Oryzias latipes: one gene and its partner. The protein of the gene in region 2 purifies or fractionates together with the protein of the main gene of each other region. This does not show direct contact. Links are inferred from orthologs where the notes say so. Each region holds a gene or a part of one and is shown on either strand. Other genes may lie near its edges.

What was found.
Region 1: the proteins of saal1 (region 2) and tmem43 purify together in Homo sapiens (affinity purification with mass spectrometry; 3 studies listed by BioGRID and IntAct, with this or other methods). This does not show direct contact. The link is inferred for Oryzias latipes from reciprocal best matches to the Homo sapiens genes SAAL1 and TMEM43.

The regions. Positions count from the first base shown.
Region 1 is NC_019863.2:1,702,878-1,707,176, forward strand, and holds the start of tmem43 (transmembrane protein 43), read right to left. Parts: upstream 2,804-4,299; 5' UTR 2,797-2,803; coding exon 2,671-2,796; intron 1,836-2,670; coding exon 1,689-1,835; intron 1,602-1,688; coding exon 1,467-1,601; intron 639-1,466; coding exon 544-638; intron 470-543; coding exon 420-469; intron 335-419; coding exon 265-334; intron 197-264; coding exon 126-196; intron 40-125; coding exon 1-39. UniProt on the Homo sapiens protein: May have an important role in maintaining nuclear envelope structure by organizing protein complexes at the inner nuclear membrane. Required for retaining emerin at the inner nuclear membrane.
Region 2 is NC_019864.2:15,654,562-15,658,535, forward strand, and holds the start of saal1 (protein SAAL1), read right to left. Parts: upstream 2,804-3,974; 5' UTR 2,676-2,803; coding exon 2,672-2,675; intron 2,174-2,671; coding exon 1,995-2,173; intron 1,504-1,994; coding exon 1,402-1,503; intron 1,055-1,401; coding exon 971-1,054; intron 861-970; coding exon 781-860; intron 689-780; coding exon 629-688; intron 544-628; coding exon 428-543; intron 286-427; coding exon 120-285; intron 1-119. UniProt on the Homo sapiens protein: Plays a role in promoting the proliferation of synovial fibroblasts in response to pro-inflammatory stimuli.

The DNA of each region.
Region 1 (4,299 bases), on a different chromosome or scaffold from region 2:
GACTCAGAGTCTGGAACTTGTTGATTTGGTCCACCAAACCTGAGGTTGAGCCATGGAGAAAGAATTACATCTGAGTGCAGCGTCTGCACCACAGGTTGGATTGTTGGCTCAAAAACAACAACAACCTTTAGACAAAGTGAAAGGTCCAGCCTGGACTGCAGGAGCCACCACTGTCACACTCTCAACCGCCATGGCACTTCCATGAAAGGGACATGTCAAGTTACATCACACACACGTGGAGGTCTGGTCTTCATCATGGCATACCTGGGGTTTTGGTGACCTATTTCTTGATCAAAATTCCTGCTGTTGATCAGCTCCGACTTCCACTCAGTGTCTGGAGCAAAACAAAGAGAAGCACATCTTTCCGGGGCCAAAGCCAATCGCAGCCAAAGAGGAGAAATAAGGGGGGAGCCACTCACTGTAGGTGTAAGTGGTCTCTGTTTTGGATTCTCCGTTCTCCTGATAGTCTCTGAAAGTTCATTTGAAAAACTCTGACATGTTGGCAGATCCCTACATTCTTGAACTTGGTCCTGCAACACTGACCTGCTCTCCCTGTACTCCACCCACTGATACATCTCCACCTCCCTCTTCAGCTTCACCGCCTGCACCACCACCTTGTAGTTGGGGTCATGAAGAGCCTGCACACACAGAGATGCACATTAACACTGTAAGTCCCAGCGCTCTTTTCATTATGATTGTGCCGTTTTTACAGACAATCAAAAAAAAAAACTTTCATTCTTCAGGACAGTTTCTGCATAGCGGCAGGAGTTTATCAGAAATTTGCCTCTCAGTTGCAGGCAGGACGGTTGGCGCAGAGCAACCCCGCCCCCCTTTCCCCCGCCTGTTGTTGAGAGCAGGGAGAACTTATTTTTTTCATGATATTTTTTCTTTACTGCAAGTTCTAAACTGGCCAATCAGATGCTTCGATGAAAGTATGTGGAGCACAACAGGATGTCGCATGTCGAACCTTCACAAATTTTGATTGACAGATTCTCCTAAGCACGCTTTCAGTGATAGAAGTGGCTTTCCAACAAGCTCATCACTGAGCGGACAGCTTGACAAGCGTTGACTGAGACCGACTTGGCCCAATCACTGCTTACTGACCATCTCTGGCTCCAACGTGGTCACATCCGTAGTTCTAAAGAATTGACTTCATTTTGTTGGAGCAGGAAGAAAGTCATTTTTTCTGGCTGATGTCACACTCACTCAGCCCAGTTCTTCTATAGTCATTGGTAAAAACTCTGAATTTTGTCATTAAAGTCCCACCTTTTTTTACCTTAAATCCCCTTTGTATTAAAAAAAGGTTATTATTCAAATGCTATTACAGTAGTTTAGGACAGAAGCATAGAAATAAAGAGATATTTCATCATTTGTCAATGACACTGGATTAAGAATTTTCAAAATCAACATCAACGATCCAGAACAAAGGTAACTTCTGCACAGCAGCAGCGCTCATTGGGTTCTACCTGAAAGGTGTGGAGCTTTGCAGACAGGTGAACTAAACGCTGATTGTTCTGCAGTTCTAGGTCGGGGTGAGGCCCCAGAGACACCACCTGAGAGAAACCTTCATCCAGGGAGGATGCGGTCTGCAGAGCCCGACCCTGAAGAAACAGACGGAGAAACCCGACAGGTGACGATCCAGACCCGTGGCGGCTTCATCTGATGACTGACAGAGCCGTGCTCCTTACCTCGTTGGTGAAAAGAACATAGATCGAGAGAAAAAACAGTCCAATACCGAGGACTGTTCCTCCTGCAGTGTCGCCCAGTTTCTCCAGGAATCCAGGGTTGTGTTTGACAGTGACCCGCCTGTGTTGATCTGGCACTTTACCTGGATGCTAACACAACAACACCTGGATGTACACAAATGCTGGAGGAAGACACTGATTTCACAGTAATAAGTGTAAATGCATTCTTACAGTGGCCCAGAAGGGTCACAACACTTTAGATTTCGCACACCCAAATAACACACTATAATTTGTCACAACATTAAAAAAAAAAATCACTCACAACACAAAACAACAATTCACAACACTTTAATTCAGTGAGTTAAAGTGTTGTGAGTTATTATTTGGTGTTGTGAGTTAATTTTTTTTAGTGTTGTGACGAATTGTAGTGTTATTTTGTGTTGTGAAAGTGTTGTGCTGTGACCCTTCTGAGCCACCGTACATTCTAAATGAGGGAATGTACCAATGCATAATCTACAACATGAATAAACAAGAACTACAAAAAGTCTATCCTTAGCAAAAAGTACTACATTACAAGTGTATTTATTACTTTTACTTGAGTATAGGCTTGGCAAATATACTAGACCACGTATGTGTACCAGTGTAGGAAGTATGCTAATTGAATACTTCTATCTAAAGACCAAATTGAAACATTTTAAGTTTACTATAGTATCTGAAAAGCAGCCTTCAAGTATACTGCCTCTGTTTAACTTAAACATAGACTAGACTACTTTTTGCTAGGGGTAACTTCCTATAATACTCCCCAATCGCAGTTCATTCATTCTTAATCAACTGTGATGTCCGTGATAACTACAGCAAGAAGAACTAGTATTAAAGCAGACTAACTGGTTCAATCACAAAAGACAAACTCTTCTGTCCAGAACAGCATGTTTAAATATTGGTACTTGCTTAAAAAACACGCCAGAAATGTAATAAATTCACTTACAAACTGTGCAGAAGACATTTTTCCGGCTCGATTTACTCTTTTAACAACAGTTGAGTTGATGTTAGCAAACTGAAAGACTGTGGACGCGCAGGTTAGCTTTACCTTACAGAGTATCCCGACATGCATTTGGGGGGGCGGGGGCAAGATGGTTGTCAGTGGGAAGTTTGGGCGTGCCTTCGCAAACCTATTAAGACGACATATCAAGCATACCCCTCAAGGGGTTATGGGTAATGGCGTTTAGTGCACGACAGCACAGCGAACTCATGATTTCTTGTGCTTTTTAAAAGCATAAAATACTTCAGTAAAATGTAAAAGCCTTAAAAAGATATTTGATAAATACGTTTCTTCTGTCGTTAATGTTTCCATCCTATTATAGCAGCTCATAAGAAGCTTAAAACACCTGTGTGAAGATGCGTTCAAGGTTGGCTCAAAATTTAGGATTTCACTTTGTCCCTCGAATGTTGCGGGATTGTCTGGTCGGATTTCAGTGAACTTGACCTTTTGTTTTAGAAACCTCTCCTTCGTTTCACCTGGAGAGGTGGAGCTTTGTAAATAAATATATTTAGCTAAACCAGTCCTTCCATAATTATGATAAATATTATTATTAGTATTATTATTATTAGTATTATTATTAGTATTATTAAAGTTGAAAGGAGGGAGCATCACCTCCTTTGTCTTTTCTAAGGTCTGATTGCTTGCTGGTGTGTGATCAGAAAGTTACTTGACTGCTTAGAAATTGTTTACATGCTTTAAAGATTTGGGCTTTTCATCAAACAAAATGGTACTCTCTTTGTGCCTTTATAGAACCTGTTTTTCAGAGGAAGCAGGTCATGAACAACACTTGGTGTCACAGTGTCAATATATATCATGGAAAACTAAATGTCCATTCATTCATCTACCACTGAAGACGGACATGTGAAATGAAAAGCGTTAACTAAAGACAAATCCTTAACTCAGGACTCTGCAACCTGAGGTTTTGGAGCCACTCTGGGCTTTATTAACCCTTGAATAAAGATTAGGTTTGTGGTTTTGATCCAGTTCCTTTAGTTAATAAAATGTTGTCATTTTTAATTAAATATTTAAAGAGCCATGCCAGTGAAAACTGTTTTTGGTGTTTTTAACATGTTCATGTGGCATTTTTCTCATGATCAAGGACATACAGTGGTGGACAAAATTGTTGGTAGCCCTCAGTTAGAGAAAGAAAGTCCCTAATGCTCACTGAAATGACTTGAAACGTTCAAAAGTAACAAATTAAAATGTATTAAAAATCAAATAATCAAAATCAGCCATTACTTGAGTTGTTGATTAACAGAATTATTAAAAAAAAGAAAACTAATGAAATAGGGCTGGACATAGATGATGGTACCCATAACTTAATATTTTGTTGAACAACCTTTTGAGGCAATCACTGCAATGAAACAGTTTCTGTATTTGTCAATGAGCCTTCTGCACCTGTCCACAGGTATTCTGGCCCACTCCTCATGAGCAAACTGCTCCAGTTGTCTCAGGTTTGACGGGTGTCTTCTCCAAATGGCATGTTTCAGCTCCTTCCACTGATGTTCAATGGGATTCAGATCTGGGCTCATAGAAGGCCACTTCAGAATAGTCCAACGCTTTTCTCTGAGCCAT
Region 2 (3,974 bases):
AAATAGAGAAGCTTGAGTCACTTTAGGGTAGTTTAAATGCTACCCCAACAATATTGCTAAGTAATTAATAATCATTCAAATATGTCAGATCAATAAAGAATCTTTCCTTTAATTCTTACCGAAGCTGCTTGACGGCTTCTAGAAGACACAAGGTCAAGTCCAGCGGGGTGTCACTTTCATCCCCCCTCTTGTCTTGTGGCTTATCTGTGATCCAGGTCTTCATCAGCTCTTCATCAAGGTCAAACAGTTTATCAACCAGGTCCCCCACTTTTTCAAGCAAATCAGCTGATAAAAAAAAACATCAAATATTCACATATTTGAACCATTCAGTATACATTTTATATGAATAGAAATCTTTTTGCAGCCAAAGTTTTTTCTGGTTATAATTATTTATTTAGCTTTTTATTGAATGAAATCGGTGCCATACTGTTGGTAGAGCTGGACATGATAAAACAGAGGTTGGGACACACTGACGTCTGCTGTCGTATTCGCTGAATCCACAGAGAGCAGACATCTTTGTGTGATAAACAGGTTAGCAGCAATCTGCAAACATAGTGAAAGATGGTGCATGTTTGTCTTTCACCGATCTGCATTTTTACAAGCAAAAAAAAAAAAGTGTAAATATCACCTGCTGGTTTCCAGGAGGGTTGGTGGATCTGCATCTCCAAGAAGAAGCAACAGCACAGCACTGTGGCCACAAAGGGAGTTGCTTTCTTTACAATTAGAAACTTTAGCACAAAGCATGAGAAAAGAATAATAATAATTTAGGTGTTTACAAACCACAAGTCTTCCTTTTGGCTGAGAGTAACACAAGTGTCAGGGAAACAGGCTATGTTTCCAAGTATTCCTACACAAATTTCCTGATGAAAAAAAAAAAAAACAGGGAAAATTAATAAAGCTTGTAAGCAAACTGAAAAAGCCGATTACATTCTGAGATAGAGTGCAAGATCTGAAGTAAGACTTTACTCACTGTGAGACGTGGACAGCGGGATTTAGATATGACTCCAAGGAGAATATCAGCAGCTTTAAATTCTTGCAGAAAACGGGCCACATCCTACACACAGCACACAAAAAAGGACCACAAATACATAAACTTGGAAAGAAATTCCAATTTGAAATGTAAAACATGACATAATTAGCAATGTTGAAATTAAATAAATGTGGGTAATAGTTTTGATAGATTATGTTTAAATTCAATAATGCTAAAGTGGAAAGTTTTACAGATAACCACTTATTTACCTTCTTATTTGCTTTCAGGATAACTTAAGTTTAACACCAGTAATTTTGATGGATTTTAGTGTTCTGGTTGAATGCTATTTATATTTAACTTGGTTTAAATGGAAGCTGTTCAATTAATAAAACCAAGTAAACTTTGTAACGTGACACAGTTGGAAAGTGTACCTTATCCATGGCCATATCCCAGACTTTGCACAGGTCTTCCTCATCATCATCGGTGAGCTTCACTTGAGCTTCGGGGTTCTCTTCAGAAAGTTCACTGACCATCTACAAGGAAAGGTCAACATTCAGGCAGGATCGATTTCCCTGTGGAGCACAGGAACTCACACGAGACAGCTAGCTGTACAGATTTTTAGAAAAAGCTGCAAGACAGGGAGTGAAATTTGGGAAAAAATTATAACTTAGTGACATTCACCAACACTATTTAAGTTTTAAAGCTGCAGTCTCCCTTTAAAGCGGGGTTCTCAGAATCCAGGCCTTGGGGGGCCGTGTCCCAACATGTTTTCCAAACCAACCTGCCATTGAAGCTCCTTATTGGCTAAAAACACCTGATCCAGGTAATCTGCAGCAGATATTGCAGGATTTCTAGAAATCCAGCAGCAGGCTGGCCCTCGAGGCCTGGAGTTTCACCCCCACTTTAAAACTTTTATAGTTTTTAATGCATGTCAATGTTTATATTTAGCTAAAGGAGCTAGCTTCTTTTTTAAAGAGCATATTAGGTTAAAATTTGATTATTTTATCAATGACAGCTGGCTTACATGAATAAGGCGAGTCAAGGTGCTGAAAAGCCAGTGTTTGCTGTAAACGGTGTCTCCGATGGCGTCCGCATCTTCAGCCTCTTGTCCATCTCCTTCTTCTGGAGGTGGTGAAGGGTTACGGTCCATGACTGGAGATGAGAAGTTCTCCTCCTTCTGCTCAGCATCGTCAGTATTACTTTCTTAAAAGAAAAAAATATATAAAAATAAAAATAAATAAAAATAAACTAACAAAAAACACCCACAATGCAGTTCGGCTTTTTAAGCGCTGGAAGTTATTGCTACATAAAGAAATAGTCCTCAACGCACCGCAAAGTAATTCCGACATCAAGTTACTAGAAATATTTGGAGAAAACAGCCAAAGCAATTCTAGTCTAATGTATTACTTATCTCTACGTTATTAGCAATTATTTTCTGTTGTTGCTGAGCTTGCCGTTAAACACAGACGTTGTTTTTTTCCGTATTTGGATAGATAGAGATGATGGAAGGCAAAAGGCATACAATGAGGGGCAGACTCACTAAATCAATAACCCCTACTGTTTATCCTTGTGACGATTTCAAATTTAAGCTGCTAAACTTACTACACATGATTTGCATCTCAGATGTTTAAGCAAGTACGATAGTAATTCTTAACTATAATTTAAGGATTTCTTATTTAAACTTGTTACTTCTTGACTCACCCATAGTTGCGCGTCTAAACAAAGCAGAGACAGGTTAATAAGAGATTTAACTTTGAATTATGGATGCAGATAAGCTATTCAGTCTCCATTGTCAACATAACCCCAACTGCGCATGCGGGTCATTCGTTCCATGTGCCAGTAAAACGTACACTGCCTCCTACAGGAAACACGAGACATTACAACTGAGTGGGAATGTGATTGAGATGGCAAGTTCTGGTACTTTTTTTATTTGCACCCCTGTTAATTGGTCATAATCAGATTTTCTAAGGGAAGTGTCTATTACACAACATTTTGAACATAAAAACAGCCTAAATCTCTGTTTTCACCATGTTTAATGTAGAGATTGTATAATTTTTTAGAATTGTTTCTTTTTACCGTGTCTTTAATTCCTAATTTTACATTACTTTTTACTCACACTTAAGCTTCTGCAATGCAATTAACGTTTCAATATGTAACATTCAAGCTTTATCCTGGGAGCAATATCAAGGATCCAGCGATATACAAAATGACAGATGACCCCAAAAAACTTGGGTCATAGGGTTTGTAGCAGCAAATGTTTTGATCATGCTCCTGATAGACTAATGTTGAAATTACTACTATTTTAGATATTGTTATTGCTTGGCAAAGATACTCCCTTATTATACTTTTGCTGCCTGGTTAATGTTGATGTCCTGCTTGGTTGTTTCCTAATCCTGTGGAAATCAAGATATTAACGAAAAAGGATTTTAAAAACGTGAGACCAGAGCTTACTACTCATCCAATAGAGCAAATGAAGCCTGAATAAGTCTCTTTTCCAATACATTTGACCACAGAATAAAAAAACGTCATTCTTTTTTATTTAAGAAAGTTCAAATTTTTCGTTCAATTGTATTTAAACAAAACTGTACAAAGTTCTAATACAAGTTTTATAGCAGACAAAACCAAAACTGAATTTTAAATAACACTGTCAACATGATACCAGCATTTTAAAGTTACGAGTATCATCCTCCTTTGTTTAACACAGCAGTAATAATCTTTTCCATTATACAGCTGTCCTTCACTGGGAGTGGTTCAAAGCCCTATTTACACTTGGAGGAGCTTGAGCTAAATGACTGTACAAGGACATGACAGATGACTTTATGTGCACTTTAAGGGAAATGACCATGACAGAACAATAATATACTTTTTATTTGACTTAACTAGAAAACCAGTTAAAAACACATACTTCATCAGTTCAAGTGACGAGAACCTTTACTTTGAGATTGTTGTTGCACATCTCTTAATTGTAAAATAAAGTTTGAATATTTAGTTTTAGTTCTAACCA